7 linked regions of the Canis lupus familiaris genome follow. The protein of the gene in region 2 purifies or fractionates together with the protein of the main gene of each other region. This does not show direct contact. Links are inferred from orthologs where the notes say so. Each region holds a gene or a part of one and is shown on either strand. Other genes may lie near its edges. The genes, in order: HSP90AB1, GRB2, ALK, PTPRE, CTTN, ELMO2 and SYNJ1.

Region 1 (4,238 bases), on a different chromosome or scaffold from region 2:
GCTTCTCCCTCTTCTGGGACATATACCTGTGCCAGGGACTGGCCAGCCTTGGCCCTAAGCCTGTCCCCTGCCTCAGGCTGAGCTGGGAGTCTGATATTTCTCCTGTTGCTATGGTTCACACTTGGCCTGCTGCAGCCCTCTAGGGGCTGAAACCTCCATCTTGTTTCTGCAATTCTGCATCCCAGGAACTCACTGTGGGGGGCTTAAGTGAGTGTCAGCGAGTGGGAGAGCCTTCCAGAAAAGACAGAATTTCTGTGCTAGTGCGTGATTTGAGATCTTCCCATTAGAAGACCCCGGGAGTCTCTGGTCTTAATACTGATCCACAGGAGTGATTTCTGCTGCTTTGGACTTGGGTCCTGGGAAGGGAGACAGCATTGCTACTCCATTCCTGGAGCAAGGAGCGAGGGTTGGTGCAACAGAGGCTCTGAGCTGACTGATCTCACTGAAGCCTTGCTTTCCCAGTGAGAACGGGAGACTCACTTTTACCTCTTCACAGTATTGTGAAATAGTTTGAATGCTCTTTGTGAACTAGGGAGGTTTTTAATTTTCTAGGCCCCTTCTGCCCAGAAAGAGAGAGGGTATGTTGAGGGATGACACACTTCGTTTGAGATCTTGATCAGGAACAGAGAATCCTGGAGGATTCCTGGCAACAGCACCCACAGCTCTTCCCAAACACATTAACTTCCCCAAGTCACAGATTTCTCACACACCATTAAGGAGAATAGGGGGCAGCCCGGGTGGCTCAGTGGTTTTAGCGCCGCCTTTGGCCCAGGGCATGATCCTGGGGACCCTGGATCGAGTCCCACGTCTGGCTCCCTGCATGGAGCTGCTTCTCCCTCTGCCTGTCTCTGCCTCTCTGTGTCTTCATGAGTAAATAAAAATCTTTAAAACAGGTGTGTGTGTGGGGTTGAATAAAAGAGTAAGGAGAAATATAGGAGTGGTGGCTGTGGCTGGGTGATGAGGTCTGGTGCTTGGGGAAAAGATAAGGAATTGGAAGGTCTGTTCTTCGGAATTTAACATATGAATAAGGAAATACAAAGGAAGGAAGAAGGCTGAGGAAGGACGGCGGGCGGTGGTGCCGGAGGCAGCCCCTCCCCAGGATTCCAGGGAACGACCCTGTGGGCCAGGGAGAAGTGGATGGACCCCTACAAGGTCACAGAGCAGCAAGAGGCCATTCTCTTCCGGAGGGGCCGTGGGTCCGACGGCATTCCTAGGGGAGGCCTTAGGTAGACAAGGACGGCTTCCCCTCTGGAAGGCGCGCGAAAGGGGCTGAGCCACGGCGTCCCACAGCTCTCCCGGCCGACTAACGGCTCGGGAGCGCCCGCGCCGCAGCTGGAGGGGAACGACTTCTGGCAGCCTGCAAGGGGGCCCGCTCCTCCTCCCGTCTGCCGGCCGCAGGAGCGAAGAGGGCCCAAACTGAAACCAGATGGGGAAACAGCTCCGTGTGCTCACGCAGGGAAGACGCAGGTCTCCGGGTCCCACTCACTTGGGCGGATGCACAAGTAGGGGAGGGTCCTCCTCCCCGCCCCCCGCGATGGCGAATGCGTCCCCGGGTCTCTGCGCCCCGAAGGCGGCGCCAGCACCACCGCCCCAACAGCCCCAGGCCGTGGGATCGATGGCGGGGGTGGGGGGGTCAATCTTTCCCTTTATGCTCCATCCCACTCCCGAGGGAGCGCTGGGCTCGCCGAACCGGCAGGTGGGAGATGAGGGTCCCCCCCGCGGGCTCCCAGGTTAATAGGGGAACAGCCCGCCTCCTCCCCGGGGACCGCGGCGGCTGCGGACACCCGGCCCAGGCCGCAGAGGGCGGGGCGGCGCCTGCACGGAGGGGGCGGGGCGGGGGCGGGGCCGCCAAGGCGGGTCTGGAAACTGCTGGAAGTAATCGCAGTACCACCATTGCCGCTCCTTCCGCCGGACGCGGGCAAAGAGTCCCCCTGCCGGTGCCGGCCAGGGCCCTTCCCCCAGCCGGAGCCACACCCCGCCGCACAGCCGCGGCTTTCGCCCACTGCCCCTGGGAGGGCCGGGGCGCAAGGCCTCCCTGAGGTTAGACCCCGGATTCCGCACCGTCCCTAAGGAAAACTGCTTCCCCTTCTCGGGTTGTGGGGGTCTGGAGGGCAGATTGTAGCAAGAGTCGAACCCGGGAGCCGAGGTCGGAGCGGTTGGCCGCTTCTATCCCCGCCCTCCACCTTTATAGGTGTTCCTCCAGGCCAGGACTCGAGTGGGGAGGCGCCTGCCTCATGGTTTATAGGAAGGCCAGTGGCACCCGCACCCCTAGATCCCCCACTTATTTCATATGAAATAAGACGTTCCCAGTCTTTAGTTCTCGGAGGGAGCTCATGCCTTGCAAAAGCAGAGATGTACTTGCGTACTCTGAAGGCGGAGACCGAGACCGGCGGCCCCCCCCCCCCCGCCCGCCCCATTTTGGGCCATGACGTCAAGGTGGGCGGGCAGCGGCAGGTGCGGGGCTGAGCTGCACCCTCCTTTAAGGCGGAGGGATCCGGGGGCCGGCAGCTGGTCTGTGCTCCGCCGTATATAGAGCGGCCGGGGGCGCACAGCCGCTCTCTTGAGTCACCCCCGCGCAGCCTTGGTTCGGCGTCGTAGCCGGACGCAGCCCCTGCCCGCCGTGGTCTGTAGTGCTTGCAGCTCTTCCCCTTTAAGGTAAAGTCGTAGCTATTTCCAGGTTTTCCTGCCTGGAGTGCTCTCTTGAGTTGCTCTCGTTCCTCGTTTCCTTTCTAAAGCCTGGGTTTCGTGGAGTGGGAGCGGCCTGTGGGATGGGACGACTCCTAACTGCTTTCGGGGGTGGCCGGGAGGGGGACCGCGAGCTAGACTTGCTTTCTCACCCGTGCCTGGTGGCGGGCGTCCCCGCGGGCGGCGCCTGGCGCTGGGGGAGGTGGGCCGCGGCGCGGGCTGGGGGTGGTGGGCAGCTGCACGTGGTGTCCGCGCCGGCCGGGACGCTGCCATGTTTGCCCCTCCACTTCCGGACGCGGCTACGGGGCGCCGGAGGGTCCCCGCGCGTTGTGGGTGTGCGCGCTGGACGTGACTCAGCACGGCCCGGGGCTGGCCTGCCCGTGCCGCCTGTGCCATCTGTCCCCTGGGACGCGTTTTGCAAGGGTTTTCGTTTTTTTTTTTTTCTGTGACCTTCGGCGAGCAACGTTTGACGGCGGTCTCTGGCCCATAGTGCTTCCTCTCCTTCCAGATCTTTCCTGCAGTGTCGGTGTGGGGGAGGGGAGTGGAGGGGGCAAGCTCGGGAAGATTCATGGGCCCTTTCCTCCCCCGCCTCTCCGAAGAGCTGAGATTGTTCTGGAAGCTTCTGGAACCCGGCGCCCCGCCCTGGTGCCCGGATGCTGGGGCGAAGGGAGGCTGCGCGGTGGCGCCCCCTCCTCGCGTGGCCCTGGCCGACGCACGTCCGGCAGTGACGAGGGTCTGCCCAGCGGACGACGGCCACCATCTTGGTTATGTTTGGTTTGGTCCCACGCTGTAGTCACGTGTGCTGGGGTCGCGATGGAGCTTCTGCCTTAGCGGTTCTTTGTCTCAGCCGCTTGGGCGGGTATCCACCGGCCCCGGGGGTAGTCGGCCCCTGCGCTCCAGGGTGCTTGATGTGGGAGACCCCCAGCGGGAGAGCCAATTGCGAATTCCTTTTAACCCGAAATTGGTCGCCTCGGGCTACCGTTTGTCCTACCAAAAGAAATAGAGCCGTATTCAGTGCTTTTCTCTTGAAAATTATCTGGAGTCCTTTTCGTGTTCCTGGATCCGATCTGCATTTTCAACGAGGTACTCGGTGATGCGGAGTCTGTTGGGTCCCATGGACCACTTAGAGTACTTAGGCTCCAAGGTGTTTTTCCAAAACGCTTTTGACGTCGTGTGTTGTGTTAGAGAAGCTTTTAAAAATTCTTCCTGAATTGGATTTCCACTAAGGGTATAGGCTGAAATCATTGAGGGAAAAGTTTTCTAGTTTTTCAGGAATATGTCTACTATCCAGCCCAAAGCAATTTCAACTAAAAGCTGAGTCTTCGTTGTGAGTAGGGTGAAACGGAGTGTTACCTATGGGGCCACGGTGTTCTTTTGTAATTCTTGACTGTTCTTATTTTAGATGCCTGAGGAAGTGCACCATGGAGAGGAGGAGGTGGAGACTTTTGCCTTCCAGGCAGAAATTGCCCAGCTCATGTCCCTCATCATCAATACCTTCTATTCTAACAAGGAAATTTTTCTTCGAGAGTTGATCAGTAATGCTTCTGATGTGA
Region 2 (3,493 bases):
ATAAAGGTACTATTTTGAATGATGGGTGCAGAAGCCCCAGAAAAAATCCTTTGAGAGGGTACCTGCCTATCTGAGGAGCTATTCTTAATTGCTAAAACTGATCCCAATCTTATGAGGCTTACCTGTGGCACCTGTTCTATGTCCCGGAGGAATATCTGCTGGTTTCTGGAGACAGATGTAGATCTGTGATAATCGACCAGCTCGTTCAGAGAATTGAATTTCACCACCCAGAGGAAATACTTCCCGGCTCCATCTCGGAGCACCTTGAAGTGCTGCACATCATTTCCAAACCTGGAGGGGCAGAGAACACCCACGAGAACAGGTCAGAGGGCTCCGTCCTGGCTATCTGGGGGCCAGGTGCTCCTCACATCAAGGAGGCATCTTCTGAGAACTAGAGTTCTGGCAACACTTCTCACGGCCTGAGGGGCCCAGACTGCAGCACAACACGATCCCCTGGCTGCAAAGTCAGGACAGTCAGGACGCTGAGTGCCCTTGAGATCCCGCCAGGGGACTGATGATGACCAGTGACGACGGGAAGAATCCTTGCCATATAGGAAAACCTTGTCCATCAGGTTAATTCTGAAGATGTTCGTAAGATAAAAAAAGAATATCCTAACCTATGGGCATGACTCCAAGTGCCCTGCGCTGTACCAAATCAAACAGCCCTATTCAAGGAAAAGTGTGACTTCATTAACTTTTCAAGCAAAAAAAGCATTAAAACTTTACAGGACATTTAAAGATGACAACAGGTGGGGTAGGAAAGTGAGAGAGGAGGGACTGGACATACTTTCAACAACTCTCCTGTAATTGGGAAGTGTAGATTATGTTTTCCATTTAGGAATCTTAGTTCTACTCACAGGTGAAAGGTCTCAGAACAGAATGCAGTAGGAAAATAAATATAAGAGGCCGAGGCACTGGGTGCCCAAAGATGTTTCTCGATCACCTGGTAACATGCTTCCTCTTATATTGCCCTGCAGAAGCAGGCGTACAACTGGGTGCTGACCAGCCCCTGGGGAACAGTGTTATGTGGCTGCTATACCAGCCCAGTGAGGCTTTGCCTGTCCTGCTCACTGCTGTGTCCACAGGACAGACACCAGGGCTCAGCCCTCAAACAGTACTCTAGGAAGATCTATAAATGAAGGACACAGTCTTTCCTCTCCTTCAGTCTTAAAGGGAAAAGGAAATTAAAAACAACCCAGCAGGTGGCAGCGCTGGGCTTCAAGTAGGAGATCCCAGGCATCCAGGACCGGTATATAGCTTTTCCTGAGAATCTGCGTGTGGTGAGGAAGGAGGGCACATTCCCCAGAAGCTTATGCCCTCTGGTGCAATGCAAATGGTTTGGTTCTTATAAGGTGTACTGGGTCCCAGACAGTGACCTGTTAACGACCACCACGCTGTTTTTCAACACTGACTCCCATCTTGAAATGAGAGAAACCTTCTAAAGACTGTAGAGATTCTTGAACCTCCTTTGAGAAAGTGTTTGTGTTGTTAAAGACAGTAATGACATCTGTTTCAAATTTTATTTCTGGAACAATAATTGCACGGATTCTTTAAAGTTTTTATTTGATAAAATGGAATGGTTTGGGAGCTTGCCAGCAGCTACTGTATGAGCATGTGCAGTGATGAGTGATAATCAAGGCCTCCACTGCACACTACCTGCCAAGGTGGCTTTGGCCACTACTCAATTAACCTGTGAGTTAACTACTTGTACTCCTCATACTGTATAGAGTATAGAGTATATACTGTATAGAGTACTGTATAGACAGTACTCTATACTGTCCTCTACTCAGGTCAGTATAAAATGTAAGGATAACAGATGACAAAAGACAAATTAGCAAGAAGCATTAAGATAGTAATTCCACCTCAAGATACTCCTTCACTAGATCCTCACTCACATGTGTTTATAATTGAGTGCATCAGAAGGCCGCTGTTGCTGTGCGTGCTGGGAAGGGGGGTTGCTGGGGATAACCACTGTACCTGCCACACAGTTTTGCTGTGAACCTGCAACTACTGTAAAAAAATGAAGTCTATTAAAAAAAAAAAAGAAGTCATTGTTAAAAGAGGAAAACTCTGAAAATAATTAGATCCAGTTTGACTTTTTCATGCTGGGACTAAAAAACTCACTTATACAGGACATGTATCTGTGTGGTGTTGTGAATATGGCCTGAAGCCACCTCCCACACCTTCAGAGGGGAAAAAACCCCACAAAAACAAAAATTAAGTTTAAATCTACATTTCAAAAACACTATACTAAAAAAAACAAAACAAAAAACAAACAAAAAAACAAACCGAAAAACAAAAACACTATACTGGTCCTAAAATGAAACAAGATATTCAGTTAATTTTGGACACTGAAAAACCTTTACATTGTGTGTAAATGGCAAACTCTCTTATGGTCTTCATTGAAAAATAACGTAATCTATAGTAGCAGTGATCTAAGACCCAACCCCTGCAAGTTTTTATTTAAATTCTAGTTAGTTAACATATAATCTTAGTTTTATAGGGGAGGAATTTAGTGATTCATAACTTATATATAACACCCAGTAATCTGAGTTTTTAACCTAATCATGCTGTCATAGGAGTGATTTGTAAGATTTTCAGGGGAGGGGTTCCTCTGATAATATATTAACTAGAAAGGCCTTGACAATTTGATTAAAAATACTTATTTCAGAGATGGGAAGTAATTTGCATGAAATCCTCAAAACTCCAACTTATGTTCTCAATGATTCCTAGGGTGGTAAAGCTCCCAGTCTTTCCTATTCCTTGCTTACCAGCTCCCTTTCACATTTAAATTTACCACTGGGGAAAGCAAAACACCCTCAAACCCTTGTGATAACCTTTAAAAGTTGAAGTAAGAGGCCTAGGATGGTGTTGGTGGATTTATGCCAGACATCTGTACAAGAGAGCCAGCTGCAAGGGTGAGCAGTCACGCCACCAGAGTGAGATCCCACAGAGGGCAAACGAGCAAAGAGCTGTGTGCAAGGCAAAGGGCACAGCAGAGAGTGGGGATTAGGGAAAACATGCTGCTACTCACCAACTGAAGGCTGTTTCCACACAGGAATCTAAACTCAGTACTGGCAGAACTAATTTTTGAGGAGTCAGGAATTACTATTTTAATGTAAACTATGCTGCTTTATAAAATACAGTTTAGGCTAACCCTCTACCAGTTGGCAATCTTTGGTGTGTGTAGCCAGACACCTGGCCTGTGGCTTCACGTTTCAGATGAGGAGGGAGAGGACTCCAGGGACCAGAACGGGAAGCACTTACTTGACAGAGAGGGAGAAGTCCCCGGGGGCACTCTCACTCTCTCGGATGAGAAAGGCCCCGTCATGCCGCTGTTTGCTAAGCATTTCTTCTGCCTTGGCTCTGGGGATTTTGCCAAAAAACCACCTAAGGAAGGAAGACAAGCCAGTCAACATCTGCTTCCCCACAAAGAGACGGGATATCCAGCCTCCGAAATGTGAGTAACAGAACACTCCTTGCCAAAGGAAGG
Region 3 (3,500 bases), on a different chromosome or scaffold from region 2:
AGGTTTCTTCACTCCCCCAAGCTCCAGCCCCTTAATCATGACACACATGCAGAACCTTCATAAATATTATAGTATTTTATTTTGACAGTAAAGGTACAAGGTCAGGATGTCCCCACTTAAGAAATGAGGTTAGTGGGGTCCAGAATGAGTAGATGTAGAATGTCCTGTCCCCAAGTCAGTTGAATTAATGGCATGGCTGGCATGAAAGTCCTCCTCTGTGCTTGTCCCTAATTCTCGGAATCAGCAGGTCACAAAAAGGGATTCAGGCTGGAGGCCCCATTGCACAAGCCCTGCTCAAGCTCCCCAGGGTGGGCTCAGCCCTCGTCTACCTTCTGTGCAATCTCTCCTGGCCATTCCCCCAGATACAAGCCCCAGGGCTGACTCCCTCGGTCCCACTGAGTAGGTTGCTTCTCAGGCTGCCCACTCTTGCCCCTCCCGCCCTCTGCTCCATTCCCTGGCTCCAACCACTAGGGCAAGACTGGTTCTCACTCACCGGGCGAGGGCGGGTCTCCCGGAGGAAGGACTTGAGGTCTCCTCCTGCCATGAGCTCCAGGAGGATAAATCGAGGCAGGGCTTGCAGACTCACCCCGATACAGCGCACGATGTTCTGGTGGTTGAATTTGCTGCAGAGCAGAGGGGAGTAACCAAATTTAACTGAGCTGAGTCTGGGAAAATCTTAAAGAGGAAGAGCAGGATGCAAAGTTATGTTTTCAGCAGCTGCATTATGTAAATGCCTTCCGTCATGTGGGTAGCCGGGTCCCATGCCCAGCCTAGGCCGGGGGGGATCTCACTCCTGAGCAGGTGCGAGAACCAGAGGGCAGGCCGGGCAGGAGTCCAGTCTGCATGAGAGTGTTTGGTTGGAGGCAGGAGGCTGCTGCACAGGTACTTAGTAAGGAGGTGGGGTCAGAGGGCGGGCGGGACGAGAGAGCGGCCAGGGTCTGGGACAGTGGGGACAGTGGTGCGTGGACTGCTTGCTAGGATTCATGTGTGAGTTCTTCGAGGACGCGTCAGGCAGAGGAGCTGAAGGAACTGCTTCCTCTGGGGACCGAGTGAACCCTGCCAGGAGACCGTGTGTGAAAGAGAGTGAGGAAGAGGCCTGTGCGTGCCTCCCCCATGGGTGCTCATGGGGACGGAGTAAGTCTGGCCGAGAGGCCCTACGATTTGGGTTTTCTTGCTAATGTGATCCTGTTAGGACGTGTGGGGCAGGGGGGCGGGTGAACTCCGTCTGGACACACACACGCAGAGCCGAAGGTCTACATGGCTCTATGCTGAAATAGAGTAGTGGCGGGTTATCAGCAAGAGTGAGACTGGGTGATTTGGGTCTCCTTCCATATCATCTTACACTTCCCAAGTGTTGTTCAATAATCATGTATTACATGTGTAATCAGACAATAGGTTACCCTTAAAGCAAGGCCCTGACCCTGCTGTGCATCCTTCTGTGGACAACACAGGCACCTCACATACTGTCCACTTCCACGCAGGGGTGGGGGGGAGGGACCCGAGGCCACTCGCATGTGTCTGGATGTTTGAGGCTCTCCAGCATAACAGGAGGCTATGAGTGTGGCGAGATCTCAAGGTCAAGCACCTGTGTCCTCCTTAAGGTGGTCTGCGGCCGGAGCACATGCCCTCCCAAGCCCTGGGCACTGAGATTCCTAGTTAGGGGACGCCAGAGTCACACGTTGAAGGGTGTAAGCCAGCTGGTGGGGAACAGGATGCGGTGGTCTCCATCACATCTAGGGGCACACTTCTTTTTTTGTTTTTTAAATTAAATTATTTTACTTAAATTCAATCAGCCAATATACAGCACATCATTAGTTTCAGAGGTAGTGTTCAAGAATTCATCAGTTAGGCCCGCGGGTCTTTACACAAGATCTAAGAGCTGGAACTGGGGAGGGGCTTTGTCGAAAAGTTACCTGGGGCGTAAGTGTGTCTTCCACTGGCAACAATTAGCATGCTCTATTCAGAAAAGGGGGGGGGGTTGGGGAACATCCCACTGGGTGACACAGGGGTGCTAGTGGAAGGCAGAGGGATATCCCTCTGGTTATTAGGCCACAGAGATTTTTCTTCTCAGACGACCACCTGGGGCTATTTCACTCTGGTAAGATGTGTTAAAATCTTAGGGACCCTCCTGGTGGGGAGGAAGGGGACGCTGGAGGACAACACCATTTCCTCTGGAGACAGAAACATCTAACAGGGGGCGTCTCTCTGTGGCTTTATTTACCTGATTATCAGGGCTTCCATGAGGAAATCCAGTTCGTCCTGTTCAGAACACACCTCAGGCAGCGTCTGGGTACAGAAGGGGAGGGTGGAAAGGAGGAGGAGGCTGTGAGCCGCAGGGGTAAGAGGGTGTGTGGTCCAAGAGCTGAGGCCATAGAGACTGCCGGCCAAGATCAGGGCCATGATGGAGCCGCCTCTTACCTTTACGGCCACTTGCAGGGGGCTCGGGTCGCTGGGCACTCCAGACACCTGACCCTCATACACCTCCCCAAACGCACCGTGGCCCAGTCCCCTGTGCAAAGGAAAAGGCAAGGTCAGGCAGAGGGGGCGGGGTGGGGGCCAGGAGAAAGGCACACAAGAGGCAGGGGGTTTCCTGCAAACTGAGGAGTAACACCCTCCACCTGGCTTTGCCATACAGTGCCAGGCCTCCCCTGCCTTATTGTTCAATGAAGACGAACTAGGTTTTTGATATCCGTCAGGGTCATAGGGGTGAAGAGGACAGGGCCCTGCCCGGGGAGAGGCTCCCACTTCTTGGGGAGGGACAGATCCTTGGCAGACATTCCTGTAGAGTGTGCTCAGTAAATGATGGAGGAAGGCATGGGGTGCCCTGGAAGCTCAGAGGAGGACACTTTGCTCCACCTGGAGAATGAGGGGCCGAGAAGACTTGAGAGGGGGCGCTTCAGGGGACTTCAAGGAATGTTCTGGTTCCCTGTCTTGCTCTCCATTCATTGTGCAAACCCCGTGAATATATGGGGTGTTAAACAGTTAAATACCTCTCCAAATGGCCCTAAGCATTAAACCTGGGAGGGCTGGAACTGCCCTGAGGGGTGGTTGTGCTGGCCTCCTGCGGCTGGAAAAATCCATGGTGTGGGGATGACCATCCAGCCTGAACTCCTCCCACACCCGCACCACCCCGGAGTACAGTGGCAGGGGGGCACTCACCGGATGAGGGTGATGTTTTTCCGAGGCACCTCCTTCAGGTCACTGATGGACGAGGTCTTGCCAGCAAAGCAGTAGTTGGGGTTGTAGTCAGTCATGATGGTCGAGGTACGGAGCTTGCTCAGCTTATACTCGGGGCTCTGGAGCTCCATCTGCATGGCCTGCAGCTCCTGGTGTTTCCGGCGGTACACTACAGGCAGATGAAGGTTAGCTACAACGTGGCCTGGGCCAGGCAGCCTGGCCCTTGAAGCCCAGCATGGGCTACCTCCTCCAGGAAGCCTTCCTGGATCTCCATCTCCTCCTCTGGGATCTGAACATTTCCATCACACTTAGTGATTCTAACA
Region 4 (3,500 bases), on a different chromosome or scaffold from region 2:
GAAGCCAGCTGGCCCCTAGGGCCTCTGCTCAGTGGCCTCTTCGCTAGGAAGCTGCCCGAGTGGCTTCCCGGGTTTGGATTTCCCGCCCTCCCAGTGCGCGCCCCACAGCACCTCCCGGGCCTCTGTCCTGCCCTCCGCCACCTGCCGGATCTCCCCCAGACGGTGGGCCGCGCACCTGTTCCCGGCACCCAGGACAACGCGGGCACGCGGTGGTGCTCAGCCAACATCTGCTGAACGAGGGACCCGCTAGGGACGCACACTCGTGTGTGCAGCATCTTGCACCAGAACTGCACACCGAACGGGGCTGCCCCCTCCAGCCCCTGCAGCGTTAGCCTCTTGCAAAAAGGAAAATCATCTCCTTAACAAAAAAGGCTCACAACTTAATGAGCTGAGTCCCCCTACTTCCCTCCTTTTTTTGGTGGGGGGGTGGGAGCTACCCCTCTTTCGGGTTAGGCTCCAAAATGGGGCTAGGACAGTGGTGAAGACCGTCCCCCGGGGCAGACCCCTCATCTCAAAGGGGAAAGCAGGTAAAACACACGAGAGGCCCTTCGCGGGGGTCTTAGCTCTTCACAGATACAAAGTCAGAGAAACCAGCGGGTGCAGAGCCAGGTGAGCCCCACCCGATGCGTGAGGAAGGCCACAAAACCACCGGCTGGAAGGCTGGAAGGCCGTCAGGGTCCCTGAGCTGCTCACAGGCCCCCTCGGCTGGCCCGGGGTGCACGCGGGAGAGACACCGCGCTGGTCCCCCAGGAAAAGGCTGAGGCCAGGTGGTCCTCGCAGCCGGCCTCCACGGGGATGCCGATCTTGGGGGATCCGGGCAGAGGATGTCGGTTCCTTTTAAGTGATTAAGAATCTAGCGTTGAGGATGAGTGTGTCAGCAAGGACACTAGGAAGCCAAAGCCCCGGGGGCCTTACATGGCCTGGAGCTGAGAGCCCCTCTGTGAGGATGAGCGTGGCCCTGGAGGTGGGACGTGGAGGCCGAGGGCTGCCACCCAGCGGGAGCCTCTCCCCCACCCTGCTGGCTTCCGGCAGGCTGCGCTCTGGGCAGCAATTCCTGCCACCGCGTGACCGTGACCGTCGTGGGCGGGCGCCAAGGACCGCCCATCTGCCCACTCGACCAACCGACAGGGTGGGGAGGCACCGGGGTGGGGAGGCCCCGGCTCAGGAAGGGAAGGATTCGCCAGGAAGGAGGGGGCTGGAGCGGGCCGCCCCTTCCACTTCCCGTGGATTAAACACCCGGTGGCAAAACAGAACATAAAAGAAGGCCCGAGAGCCCAGGAGCCGCAGTGGCAGCACCGAAGGGAAACCTGCCCACAGGGAGACGAGCACGTGCTCACCGGCGAAGGCAGGCACTCCGGGCCACGGAGGGGGCCCAGCATGGAAACGAGATAAATGGCCAGAGCACCTGTGCTGGGCACCCGTGGGCGGGACGGAGCGAGCGGGGCGAGGACAGTGTCACTCACTACGGTTTCACATGCACCACGGGTCTGGCGGGATCACAGCAAAGCAGGACCAAGCCCCCTCCCTGTGGCCACCCAAGACCCAACACAGAGGCCGTTTCTGTAGGTCCCGCATCCCCATCCCGGGGCTGGGCCGGCGGCCACCTCGAGAAGCCTGCGTCAGGGAGAGGCGGCAGCTGCAGTGGTCTTGCAGAGCCAACGGGAACTCAACCTGGAGCCCTTCCGGCCACAGCTTCTCCAGCTGGGGGCATCGGACTCTGGGTCCTGAAGACAGGCCACCAAAGTCCCCAGGGTGTCTGCCAGAGGGGGCCCCACATCTCTGATGGGTCCACGGAAGTCCCCGTGGGGGGACTCGGGCCCTTCCATCCAGGCGTGCCCCTGCTGCATGGAGGGAAGGCCCAGCTCACCAGGGTCTCACTTGGTTTTGGCCGTTGCAGACAGGTTAGTTGGGAGTACCCTGGCACTGCCAAAGGACAAAAGGGACAAGGGACAAAAGGCATCTGCACACAGTGATAAGGATGCTCTGAACCTGCCATGCAGGCCTTTGGGTAGAAGGAACATGGAGACTCTGGCTTCCAAGAAGTCTGGGCAAGAACAGGAGCGACGGACAAGACGCCCCGGCTGGGGCCAAGCAGGACTGGCCCACAAGGCTCCCCTCTCCAGTACAGCTCTGGGAGCAGCTTGCAGGGCTGGCAACTGTCACCCTACAGATGCCACCTCACTTCACGCACAGCTGCTGCAATGTCCCTTAGCTCCCAAGGACCAGGGCCAGGACCCCAGCCCTGGCCGGGAGCCAGGGGCCTCCCCTTTCACCCTCCCAGTGTCTTAGGGTTCTAACGGAGCACCCCCGGGGGGGATGGAGAGTCTGGCAGCAGAGTGTTCCCCATCTTTGTGCTTTTATCTCCAAACACAGAATGTGCATAAACCAGTTAACCAATTCGAAGTCCAAGGCCTTTTCTCAGACACGACCTGCTGCACTGGGAGCCAACCTGGGCCTGGAGTAACATAAGCCCACAGAGGGGGTTAATTCATACCCTGCCTCTGTGGCTCCCAGAGTTTCAGAGGAAATGAAAGCTCAGTGTGAAAACAACCAGGAGACACCAAGGTGTGCAAAGGCAGAGGGCACCCGGTCGGGACAAAGTGATCACTTTGGAGGCTGCTTTCCCACAACCTAAGCAATAATCACAGTGCTGACAGCTGAGGCTGGTGTAGTATTTAGTTTCATGCAAAGCTCACCCCTGGGGTGAGTCCCCAGCCCCTCCAGGACTGGAGAATGGAGGGTGGAGGAGGATGCATCTGGGAGGAGAAGCGGCAGCCAGGACCTCAGAGCAGGTCTTCAGGACGCCCTGCCCTGGACGGCTGCTCCTGGCTGCTATTAGCTGTGCCTGGGCCATGGCTCCCCGCCCCTCTGAGCCCCCGTGGCCCCTCTGAGCCCCCGTGGGCCCTCTGAGCCCCGTGCACTCTTGTATAAAGACTGGGGGCTCCCCAGAGAAGTGTGATTTCCATCTCTACCTGCAGAGGTGACTTGGAGGTCTCCGGGGGAGGTGGAGGCAGGCCAAGTGAAACTGTCGGGAGCCCTGCTAGCTCTATTTACCAGGCCTCTTGGCTTTTATCTGTTCTAGGTACTGGGGTTCCCCTCAGATGCCGTGGAAGAAACAGTGCTGCTCTCACGGGTGGGCTGAATGTCCCTCCAGCTCTCACCTCGAGGGATCCTCTGAGGTGTCAGTAGTAACTTGCACTCACCCTGGGCAGGGGGCTGCTTTCACCCCGGCCCTGCCTGCCCTCCTGCCCACCCTGATCCCGGCCCACCGGTCATCTTCCCATGACAGCCAAGTCCTCCAGGTGTGTGTGGGGGGCTGCCCTGTGGTCCCACCTGGACGTACCTGCAGTGGACCACTATGGGTCCGGCGTGGGCCGGGTTGAGAGCCTTCACCTTCTTCAGGAACTTCAGCATCCCGATGGGGGTGAAAGGCACGCCGAAGTCAGGCCAGCTGGTGAAGTGCAGCTGGGAGACGAGCCGTGGGGCTTTGCAGCCATCAG
Region 5 (3,500 bases), on a different chromosome or scaffold from region 2:
ACACCAGCAACAAAACCAGTGAGCAGGCCGTGGATTCTTTGAGAAAGTACTTTTATCACCCAGTTTTTTTTTTTTTTTTTTTTTTTTTTTTTAACTTTTATTTATTTATGATAGTCACAGAGAGAGAGAGAGGCGCAGAGACAGAGGCAGAGGGAGAAGCAGGCTCCATGCACCGGGAGCCCGATGCGGGACTCGATCCCGGGTCTCCAGGATCGCGCCCTGGGCCAAAGGCAGGCGCCAAACCGCTGCGCCACCCAGGGATCCCTTATCACCCAGTTAAAAACAAAACACACAGGCCAAAACTCTTTCAGGTACACTGTAAGATCACACTAATACAGAGCGCTCCAGAGTGTTATTGTGTGTGTAGCAACAAAAACACGAAGAATAGCAAGTGCAGCAGATTTTCACAACTGTACTATCTTTCCTTCATTCCAAAAGAGATCACAAAACAAGCATGTTATAAAGCTTTTGGGAGGGGCATCTGGGTGACTCAGTGGTTAACTGTCTGCCTTCCGCTCAGGGGGTGATCCCAGGGTCCTGAGATCGAGTCTCACATCAGGCTTCCCACAGGAAGCCTGCTTCTCCCTCTGCCTGTCTCTCATAAATAAATACATCAAATCTTTAAAAAATAATAAAATAAAAATAAATAAAGCTTCTGGGACTGAGAGGAGCCACCAGAGCCATAGAGGCAAGCTTTTAAAAGGTCACACTATGGGCACTTGTGTGGCTCAGTCGGTTAAGTGTCTGCCCTTGGCTCAAGTCATAATCTCAGGGTCCTAGGATCGAGCCCCACATCAGGGCTCCCTACTCAGCAGAGTCTGCTTCTCCCTCTCCCACTGCCTCTGCCCCTGCTTGTGCTCTCTCTTGCTATGTCCTTAAATAAAGCTTTAAAAAATATAAATAAATACATAAAAGGTCACTCTGCTTCATAAACAAAAGCCGCAGAGGTGTGCTGGGAGTACCCTCAAAGAAAGAGGACAGATGTGGAGCATCTTCCAGAAACCATCACTTCCACCCAGAGCTAAGTCACCGACATATCTCCATACTAAAGCATGGCTCTACCAGGGCCACATTCCCAGAGCAGACCACAAAGATCAAACCCTTTGGGGGAAGGCCCAAGGCTGCAGAGAAACCCTGTCTGCCCCATGCCCTTTGGCTTCTGCTCTCTGACTTCTCAGAAACGGTTTTCATTCCTCCTCAATGGCATGTCCAGGAGAAAATCTGAATAGCAGTGTGCAGGATCTAAGTGCAGGCCCGGATGAGCACCGTGCGTACCATACTGGGCAGAGGAGCACAAGTTTGCTCCAAGTAGAAGAGGCAGAGTCTAAAGAGACCCTGTGGGGCACACTGTGTGCCAGGACTGTGGCCTCAGGGTGGGTGGGCAGGCCAGGTATGACAGGAAGTGACACCCACAGCCAAGTCAGCTGCCCCAAAGGCCTCACTGCCACTTCCCAGGCAACTGACACGCCCATGGTGTTTCCAATGGGCATTTTCATTTTTGTCTTTTATTTATGTATTTTTAAAGATTTACTTATTTATTCACGACAGACAGAGAGACAGAGACATAGGCAGATGAAGAAGCAGGCTCCCTGCAGGGAGCCCACTGTGGGACTTGATCCCGGGACCCAAGGATCATGACCTAAGCCGAAGACAGACACTCAACCACTGAGCCACCCAGGCATCCCTATATTTGTCTTTTAAAGAAATCTGGGTTTTTAAACAAGATGTGAATTCTGTTTTTATATGTTGGCAACTATTTTTAAAAATGTAAACGCACAAGGGCGCTTGGTTGGCTCAGTCAGCGGATCTCAGGGTTGTAAGCTCAAGCCCCATGTTGGGTGTAGAGGTATTTAAAAAAAAAAATATTTAAACGTGAAGCCCATATGAAACAAATAATGCAGAAGAACCAACAATCCAGGGCCACTGCAAGAGGGGACCACATCTATAAACCCTTCATGGAGACATCCCTCGCCAGGCAGGGTTTCCAATGATGGAGGGAAAAATCAGCACAGCTGGTGAGGACAATCTGCAGTAGCCACCAAAATTTCAAACTCAACGTCCTTTGACCTAACAGTTCTACTTCTGGAAATTTACTCTTCTAAAAAATCATTTTTTAAAAATCTATGAGACTCAGGGAACAAGAATATTCACTGTAGTTGATTTTTAGCTTCAAAGATTGCAAATAACCAAAATTTCACATTCCAAAGAGGAATGGTTAAATGTTGACAGCCTCCTTGCAAGATGGGGACAGAAAAGGCAGATGTATGCTGACCTGAACAGAACAAGAGCCCTCTGACAATTTCAGTTAAAAAGACTGCAGAAGGGACGCTTGGGTGGATTAATAGCCCAGGTCATGATCCTGGGGTCCTGGGATCGACTCCTCCATTGGGCTCCCAGTGAGGAGCCTGCTTCTTCTCCCTCTGCCCGTGTCTCTGCCTCTCTCTCTCATGAATAAATAAATAAAATGTTAAAAAAACAAAACAAAACAAAAACAGCAGAAATGCCACACAAGCCAGCTGGCATGGGGAGAGAAATCCCTGGTGTGGACCTGTGAGTGCGCAGCAGGGAGGAGGCAGGCCCCACACAGGGAGAAGTGGTGCTCCCAGTGGCCTGACCTTTCTGTGACTCGTGCTTTTCCGTCTTGCCCTGGTAGTCGAAGCCCACGGCACTCTTGTCCACCCGGTCAGCCTGCACGCCATACTTGCCACCGAACCCACTTGAGTAGTCTGAGGAGACAGGGCGGCAGTCAGTAAAGAAGCTCGATGACAGGCTCAACTGTCACCTCGGTTCTTCGACTGAGCAAGACAAAAACATTTTGGAGTCAGGACACAGCAAGAGATCAAGCGCACAGTTTAAAAGTCCCCCCATGGTCATGCAGGAGTGAACCCAGACTCCATTCAGAGCGCAATCCCTTGCAACCCCAAGAGGGGAGCCTCTCACAATGGCACAAGAAGCTGTGGTCCCACTGCAGAAATTAACTGTCCAAATAAAGCAAGTTGTGCAGCTCAAACCCCTTGCCGAAGGGACTAGAGAGGTCCATGCCAGGCCAGATGGACAGAGCGCCCACCCCCAGGGCATCCGATGATACGCAAGACACAGGCGTAAACCAGCTCACAAAAAGTACACCAAGCACTTTGAAAAAATAACATGCTTCCATTTAAAAAAAAAAAAAAAAGAAAGAAAGAAAGAAAGAAAAAAAAAGGCTTTAAAAGACTGTCACGACTTGAAGGTTAGCCAGCACCATGTGAGGACCACACGCACAGTAAAGCAACAGTGATCTCAGGCTCTGGTTTCCAAGGCTGGGGGGAAAGTGAGCTTGTTGCCAGCCGAACCCGAGAGTGGACTCTCCTGGTACAACGATGCTCAGAGGAAGAAAAGGCAGCCTCTGCCACAGCCTGGGGAGCCCCATAGTGATATGGTCCTCCCCAGGAAACCGCCTCTGATGACAGTGTTCTCTCTGGCCCGGCGCAGCGGGGCAGGGCTGCCCTCCTGTCTGCAGC
Region 6 (3,500 bases), on a different chromosome or scaffold from region 2:
CAAAATAAAGGTTCAGGCATGAAAAAGCTGAGTGTAGAAAGCAGAGGATCTTACTGAAACTGGGGTCTCCTTTTTTTTTTTCCTGGGGTCTCCTTTTATCTCGACATACCCTTCTCCTGTCACATGTTCTGTCCCTGCATGCACACAGGACAGCAGAGGCTTGACAGGAAAACCTCAAAGTCTTGTGATCTAGTAATTTCCCATTATTCTCAACCCCCATTATAATGTCCCCGACACATGGTCATTTCACTTTTGTCTGAATATTTCCAGCATCAGGAGGTACCCAGTGGGGGATCCCTGGGTGGCGCAGCGGTTTGGCGCCTGCCTTTGGCCCAGGGCGCGATCCTGGAGACCCGGGATCGAATCCCACATCGGGCTCCCGGTGCATGGAGCCTGCTTCTCCCTCTGCCTGTGTCTCTGCCTCTCTCTCTCTCTCTGTGTGTGTGACTATCATAAATAAATAAAAAATAAAATAAAATAAAATAAAAAAATAAAAAATAATAAAAAAAAAAGGAGGTACCCAGTGTCCCAAGCCAATGACAGCTCTGATTCTGTATCTGTGGATATATTACTCATTGAGTTTAGTCCAGTTTTTGGCATTGATGCCGCCTCTTCCTGTCGAAGAAAGGAGGGCAAAAGTAAAAGTGTCCCCTCCCACCCACCAAGTTTGATCTGACCATCCAAACAAGCTGCTTTGCAGGCTGCTTTGTCAACAGAAGGCAGACTTGTAAACCTAAGGTAAAAGGTGAACAAAATGAACATGTATAGCCAAAGAGAAGGGAGCTCTTGGGAAGTAGGTCAGAAGACTCAGGGCTGGTACTGATTGACTGGTTGGGATCATCTCAAGTCTCACTAATCATCCCATCCCGCTTTGGCCACAGTCAATTCTGAAAACCTGTTTCCATCTTCTCAGAGCAGGCCCTGACAGAACAGTGAAGGAACTCTTTCAGGATCCCAGGAAGACCAAGCATGAGGATGAAAAGTCAGGCCTTGGGGGATAGAAAGTTAACTCTCAGTAGGATGACTGTCTTGCTTGCATCTCTCCATAAACTGAGAGGACAACTGGCCACAGAGGGAGGAGAGGAAGATGGAATGCTGGAGGCCTCACCTGCTTAATGAAGGTGATTGAAACCATGTCCCAGGAGACAATGCCATGGTCCATGAGCTCTAGGAAGGCAGTCAAGGTGAATGCCAGCATCTCACTGTAGCTGAGACATAAGCAGAACACACACAAAATAATACAAAGATTCAAAACCGGGAACACAGGTGTGATGGCAGCCATAATGGAGATGGCTTTGAGCTTAAATGCCCCACAAGGGGTGGGTAGGCACAGCCATGAATAAGCACCTGTTTGCATCCCTCGCCAGGTGTGCAGCAGATTCTGTCCAGGTATACATCTCTGGGAAAAAAAGAGCTACCTGGGCACTGGCTCTCCTTCCCCATATCACCTCATCTAAACACAATCACTCATCCATTTCCCAAAACCAAAAAGGTATCAGACTTTTATCAACCCCAATACTTGGCAGGCGTATCCAAGGGAAATAACAGCCCACGTTCAAGGCCGAGAGGCAGCAGAGTATAGGACAAAGAGTACAAACCCCAGACCCGGGCTCCATTCCTGTTCAACCATTTACTAACTATGCAAATTTTATCTTTTCAAACTTCAAATTCCTCCTCTGTCAAACTGAGTTTATCTCACAGCATTAACATCACAGGGTTGTGGCGGCGGCAAGATGACAGTGTATGCAAAGCCCTGCTGCAGTGCTGATGGAGGATGGGGATTACCACGCCGTCTCTCCTGTGTCCCTTCTCTCTCTACATACAACCCTTTACACATCTGTACGGTGCTCTAGATTTAACAAACCTTATTCCCACTGGCAAGGCAGATTTGGACCCGTTAACAACACTCCTCATGGCGATACTCCAATATAAGCAGCATCTCCAGGTTAAAGAGGAGGAAACCAGGGCCAGTCTAATCCTGCACCCCTCAGAGATGGCAGAAGGCTGATGGCCACTGAAGGTTTCAGGAGGTCAGTGCAGCCGCAAAATCCAAGACTTAAACACCTGTGATTAGTTGCTTTGTTTGGCTGAAAATTTCAAAAGGTGGTCTATTGACTGAAGATTTCAGACTCCCCCTGTGCCAGCTGAGAGAGACAGAAAACCACCACTGGCCTAGACAGCTAACTAAACATCTGTTAATCATTCACAGCACAGTGTCCCGCTGCACTCATCTTAGCACTGGAGCACCACAGAGGTGTCCGCGGAGTATCGCAAAGTTCTGGAGCGATACTCCTGGGACCTCCTCCCTGTGAATATGGGTGGAAGGGAGATGGCGAACCCATGGTGAGCATGGAGGAAGCCCTGTGTGTGTGCGCGTGCATGTGCGTGTGCAGAAGTGGGAGGTGACTGGACAGGGACGAAGCAGGGGGACGATTAAGAATAGACAGATCTTTTCTGGTCAATAACATGGATAGTCCACTCACTAGCTTCCACCAGGCCAATCATTTTCCATAAATGTACAGATCTGTCACGACATGCCCTCTCTCTTCCTATACCCCCTCATTTCACTATGGCTTGGCATCTGTGAAGACCAACTAGACTACAAGATTCAGGACCACAAGAGAGAATTCCTCTTACAGACCCCAGTACTGGGCACACTGCTCTGTATATAGAAGGTGTTCAATAAATTCAGGTGACTCAGTGAATATGAGAAAAGGATCCCCTGCAGAATGAAGGAAGACTTCTGAAACTCCCCCAGTAAGAGCTCAGTAATACTCACTGGGACAAGAGCTTGGTTCCACTCTCCACAAGCCGTGTCAGCACGACGATGCCATCCATGTTGATGAACTCAGTGGCGAAGGTCACATCAGCAGAGAGCTTGGCCAGCTCTTTCATGGCATCCAGCCGGGTCTCCATGTTGGATGACTGGGTCCTCTCCATCAGCTGGCGTGCAGCCCGGGACTATGACACCAGGGACAAGATGTATGCCATCTGCTCCTTGTGGCAGGTTACTGCTCTGTGAGTAGCTCATAAAGGCTTTTCTGTGGACATCCAAGCCCGAGGCAGAACTACTTGTTCATGCTGTCTAGGAGTTGCTTAAAAAATGCTTGTTGGATCAATCATGGAATTACCATTGTGCCAAGACCAATCTGTAGTTACGTATATCCTTTCTGTAGTGCTCTGGTCTATGGATTACAGAAACTTCCCAGTGAAGGACTACAAAAGACCGGGAGACAATAGTCCACCACCTCCAGCAAGTCATAGAGAAAACAATACTGGCTCCACAGAGGGGAGTTTTCTATTAATTTAAGCCATTAGACAGTGGACCAGGTTGTCTCGACATAACGACCTCTCAGTCACTAAAAACAATCAAGGAGACTCAGGACAACTGGCTGTCAGAGATGCTTCACGAGGGATTCTTGCACTGGATGGAGAATTTAATCTGATGATCACCTTTAAAGTCCTTTTCAGGGACACCTGGGTGGCTCAATGGTTGAGCG
Region 7 (3,500 bases), on a different chromosome or scaffold from region 2:
GACCAATTTATCACCAAAGGAAATATATTGTTATGCAGAAAAACTTACTGGCTGGCTTTTCAGAGAACCAGGAGTCTCATAAAAGTGAATTTTCTATAATACTGAAGCTTGGTTCTCAAGTTTTAAAACTCCCCTGTTTTAGGTAGAAATTTTTCTTAAGTACTCTGCACTATCTCGCTGTCTTAGTCTCATTAATACACAGCACTACTGCTAGACCAGCAGCTGCCCAGCCCTCCTCCTCAGGGTATAGGTGATGGTAGAGATAAGACAGCTGGTGGGCATGTGCAGTTCTGATAAACCATCTACGTAAGTGAATGGTGAGATTACTATTAGACTAACACTCAATCCAATGGCCATTAAGTATTTTCAAAATATGACATAAGCCTCCATACTCTACTATTGCCTATACTGATCTGAGGTGAAGTTCAAATGACTGTGATCCAGTATGTCCAGATACCATAGAGAGTCCCATGTCATGGCAGAGGTATAAGCAATATACCTGTCTCCATTTAAATACAAGTGGGATCCTATGTATTTGTTCAGGTAGTTTCTCTCTCTACCATCAGTTTTCATTTCTCTTTGCTGTCAATGAATTGCTGTCTTAATTCTATTTAAATTCATAAACAACTCTCAACTGGCCGCAGCTTCAAATCTCCAAAGGAATAAATGAGTGGAGTTTTTGTGATAGGTGTTTGTGACTCTGGAAACAAAACTTACTTGGCTGTATCCTGGAAAATATTTCTACTAAGCTACAAGAGTATGCATAATACATTCATAAAGCTTTCATTTTTCTATGCAAGGTGAAGCTCAAGAATGCCAATCCTTGGAAAAATTGTAGAAAGCGTAAAATTACCAAAACTCATTTTTGGTGTTTTAGTCTCCCTTTTGTTCAACCTGTCTCCTATTCAATAAACCCCTTCAGTCTGTTAGGTAAACTGTTGCCACCTCCACCCTTAAGTAAATGAAATAAATAAATAAATTACTCCTACTGGTTAAACTTAGCAAATGTGCTTAACTGCTGATCATTGGAGCCAATGCATCCACACCTGCTTAAACTTCTAATTATTGGCAAGAAAATTTTTATCTCTTAATCTAAGATATTTGGGGTTAGAATGACCAGAGTGGGGAGAAAAAAGTCAGGGCAGCTGCCCTGCCCATCTGCGCCACCTTAACTTTTCAGGGATTTCCATGTCTCTTCCATCAGAAAAAGTGTGGGGCTGACCTCTAGGCCCACTTAATTGCCCTATTAACCATTCCTTCCCAGCCCTTCATTGTCTCCTCCTTTGTGAGGTTCCAAGTCTCTAGGATGCTGGAGTCTTTTTTTCATTCTGCCTCGTTTCTCCTCTGTATTACTATGCTGGGCCAAAAAAAACTTGCACATTAGCTAAAAAGCTTCCTCTAAAGTTTGTTTCTTATCCTAAGGTTTTGTTGACTTTGAGCCCTCTGACACCCAAGACAGATAGGTCAGACTAAACGGGCCACTCAAGGACTATAGGTAGATGGTGCAAGTGGGAGGAAAAGAAAATATCCAGAACACCTTGAATCTGACCTACTGAGGGAGACCCAAGGGCAGAGAGTCCTGGACTGCGGTCTTAGAACGTGCAAACATAATGAAATATAATTGCTACATGATGTTAGGGGAAAATGCCCACAGCAATGCTGACTGTGGACAAGAGAAGCAATATCCTAGAAAACTGGTCAGCTCCAATAAAGCAGCACTAATTATAGTTACATGTGCTTACCTTTGTGCATACTATAGTACAGTTTATGCATAATCATGAAATATCCATTACCTACTTAAGTCTTACTTTATTATAGTACTAACCTTTATCCTAGCATATCACTTCTTCACAGTCCATTGCTCTTAAATCAAGATTATGCACCTATTACCTTTAAATTAAAAATGAGGGGATCCCTGGGTGGCGCAGCGGTTTGGCGCCTGCCTTTGGCCCAGGGCACGATCGTGGAGACCCGGGATCGAATCCCACATCAGACTCCCGGTGCATGGAGCCAGCTTCTCCCTCTGCCTGTGTCTCTGCCTCTCTCTCTCTCTCTCTCTCTCTGTGACTATCATAAATAAATAAAAAATTAAAAAAAAAAATGAGGCAATGCTGTCTTAGAAAAACAGTACTAAAAAAAAAAAGAAAAAGAAAAAAGAAAAACAGTACTGCCAGAAACAAGATCTCAAAACTATGAACAGTAAATATGAGTATCACAACTTGATTACAACTAATTCATTCTTAATTTTAAAATAAATATCTTAAATATATTTCAGAAACGAAAGGTCAGTTTAGATTGGGCAGAGCAAATGGGTTGCATGTCACATGGGAACTTCAATAAGCTGACACTGGCTGCCTGCTATGCTCTGCTGAGGATTCTGGAGCAGGAGACAGTGGGGTGCTCAATCAGCAATGCCCATCCTTGCTATCTTTGGAAATAACTGATGAACACACTATGCACCAAATCACCAAACTATTGCACAGCAAGCACATGATTACCAAGGGAAAAAACGTTAACACAAACTCACCAGAAAAATCTATTATCAGTTGTGTGTTCTTGCATGCTACGATGTGCATTAAGACTTAGATCTAAACTGATTCCAGATGCAGACCATGCAAAATAAAAGTTTCCTGAATTCAAAACTTTTCGCACTTCTGAAATGCGATCCTCTTCTGAAGAATCAATTCGTAGTGATATGAATTCAGTAGAAGTAACTCGGAAAACTTCAGATTCTTGAATTTTTCCAACAGACATACATCCAGTGACTAAAACCAGATAATGTAACATGGTATCACCTGCAAAAACCAAAGAATTCATCGGATGAAAAGTCCCTGAATTCCCAATATTTTTCAAGTTATTCAAAATTTCCTCCAACTTTCTTGTCATGTTTCCAACTTTTAAAATCTGACAGCATGCTTATTTTAAACTGACATGGACATGTTTACATTTACAACTGGATTTTTGCAAAAGTTGAAAAAAATCCTTGATTAAACACATTTAGATCCATGAACCATTTAAACATTAACAGAATAATCTCACATTGATGAAATTATTCCTTTGATTAATCTGATATTAAAAAATTTATCAAGTAAAAAAATAATCTATATGTTATCTTCCCCATCTTTCCTTTATGTTTGTCAGGAAATCCACATAAGACAATAAATGTGGGAGCTCTTTGTAAATAGCACAGTTCAAAGAAATGGAAAAAATATAAATGTGAGCTGCTGTTGTCGACATATGAACAGAAAGCCCTTGATAACAATTTATAAAGCAATTTGGTTTACAAAAACTTTCATAGATATTTTCACTAATTTTGGCAAAAATCCCATGAAATTAGCATGAAGGCGAAATTCAGTGGTGGTGTACTTTGACAGGCAGAAGTGGCCCTGAATCTTGGCTCTGCCACTTATTATCTAGACCAACTTTAGTGTGCTAACAGAACCAACCTGAGATACACTCCCTCACAAACCAGGATTAAAATAAACCTCACTGGACTGTGA

The links.
Region 1: the proteins of GRB2 (region 2) and HSP90AB1 purify together in Homo sapiens (affinity purification with mass spectrometry; 3 studies listed by BioGRID and IntAct, with this or other methods). This does not show direct contact. The link is inferred for Canis lupus familiaris from reciprocal best matches to the Homo sapiens genes GRB2 and HSP90AB1.
Region 3: the proteins of GRB2 (region 2) and ALK purify together in Homo sapiens (affinity purification with western blotting; 3 studies listed by BioGRID and IntAct, with this or other methods). This does not show direct contact. The link is inferred for Canis lupus familiaris from reciprocal best matches to the Homo sapiens genes GRB2 and ALK.
Region 4: the proteins of GRB2 (region 2) and PTPRE purify together in Homo sapiens (affinity purification with mass spectrometry; 5 studies listed by BioGRID and IntAct, with this or other methods). This does not show direct contact. The link is inferred for Canis lupus familiaris from reciprocal best matches to the Homo sapiens genes GRB2 and PTPRE.
Region 5: the proteins of GRB2 (region 2) and CTTN purify together in Homo sapiens (affinity purification with mass spectrometry; 3 studies listed by BioGRID and IntAct, with this or other methods). This does not show direct contact. The link is inferred for Canis lupus familiaris from reciprocal best matches to the Homo sapiens genes GRB2 and CTTN.
Region 6: the proteins of GRB2 (region 2) and ELMO2 purify together in Homo sapiens (co-immunoprecipitation; 4 studies listed by BioGRID and IntAct, counting the BioPlex papers as one, with this or other methods). This does not show direct contact. The link is inferred for Canis lupus familiaris from reciprocal best matches to the Homo sapiens genes GRB2 and ELMO2.
Region 7: the proteins of GRB2 (region 2) and SYNJ1 purify together in Homo sapiens (co-immunoprecipitation; 3 studies listed by BioGRID and IntAct, counting the BioPlex papers as one, with this or other methods). This does not show direct contact. The link is inferred for Canis lupus familiaris from reciprocal best matches to the Homo sapiens genes GRB2 and SYNJ1.

What each region holds. Positions count from the first base shown.
Region 1 is NC_049233.1:12,845,010-12,849,247, forward strand, and holds the start of HSP90AB1 (heat shock protein HSP 90-beta), read left to right. Parts: upstream 1-1,438; 5' UTR 1,439-1,456; exon of another isoform or gene 1,457-1,467; intron 1,468-2,496; exon of another isoform or gene 2,497-2,660; intron 2,661-3,442; exon of another isoform or gene 3,443-3,768; intron 3,769-4,087; coding exon 4,088-4,234; intron 4,235-4,238. UniProt on the Homo sapiens protein: Molecular chaperone that promotes the maturation, structural maintenance and proper regulation of specific target proteins involved for instance in cell cycle control and signal transduction. Undergoes a functional cycle linked to its ATPase activity.
Region 2 is NC_049230.1:6,054,590-6,058,082, reverse strand, and holds part of GRB2 (growth factor receptor-bound protein 2), read right to left. Parts: intron 3,461-3,493; exon of another isoform or gene 3,391-3,460; coding exon 3,268-3,390; exon of another isoform or gene 2,968-3,267; intron 292-2,967; coding exon 123-291; intron 1-122. UniProt on the Homo sapiens protein: Non-enzymatic adapter protein that plays a pivotal role in precisely regulated signaling cascades from cell surface receptors to cellular responses, including signaling transduction and gene expression.
Region 3 is NC_049238.1:23,065,570-23,069,069, forward strand, and holds part of ALK (ALK tyrosine kinase receptor), read right to left. Parts: intron 3,347-3,500; coding exon 3,160-3,346; intron 2,510-3,159; coding exon 2,419-2,509; intron 2,287-2,418; coding exon 2,222-2,286; intron 624-2,221; coding exon 494-623; intron 1-493. UniProt on the Homo sapiens protein: Neuronal receptor tyrosine kinase that is essentially and transiently expressed in specific regions of the central and peripheral nervous systems and plays an important role in the genesis and differentiation of the nervous system.
Region 4 is NC_049249.1:37,246,549-37,250,048, reverse strand, and holds part of PTPRE (receptor-type tyrosine-protein phosphatase epsilon), read right to left. Parts: coding exon 3,344-3,500; intron 1-3,343. UniProt on the Homo sapiens protein: Isoform 1 plays a critical role in signaling transduction pathways and phosphoprotein network topology in red blood cells. May play a role in osteoclast formation and function.
Region 5 is NC_049239.1:48,400,505-48,404,004, forward strand, and holds part of CTTN (src substrate cortactin), read right to left. Parts: intron 2,727-3,500; coding exon 2,616-2,726; intron 1-2,615.
Region 6 is NC_049245.1:34,241,192-34,244,691, forward strand, and holds part of ELMO2 (engulfment and cell motility protein 2), read right to left. Parts: intron 2,962-3,500; coding exon 2,780-2,961; intron 1,209-2,779; coding exon 1,109-1,208; intron 1-1,108. UniProt on the Homo sapiens protein: Involved in cytoskeletal rearrangements required for phagocytosis of apoptotic cells and cell motility. Acts in association with DOCK1 and CRK. Was initially proposed to be required in complex with DOCK1 to activate Rac Rho small GTPases.
Region 7 is NC_049252.1:27,955,641-27,959,140, forward strand, and holds part of SYNJ1 (synaptojanin-1), read right to left. Parts: intron 2,796-3,500; coding exon 2,528-2,795; intron 1-2,527. UniProt on the Homo sapiens protein: Phosphatase that acts on various phosphoinositides, including phosphatidylinositol 4-phosphate, phosphatidylinositol (4,5)-bisphosphate and phosphatidylinositol (3,4,5)-trisphosphate. Has a role in clathrin-mediated endocytosis.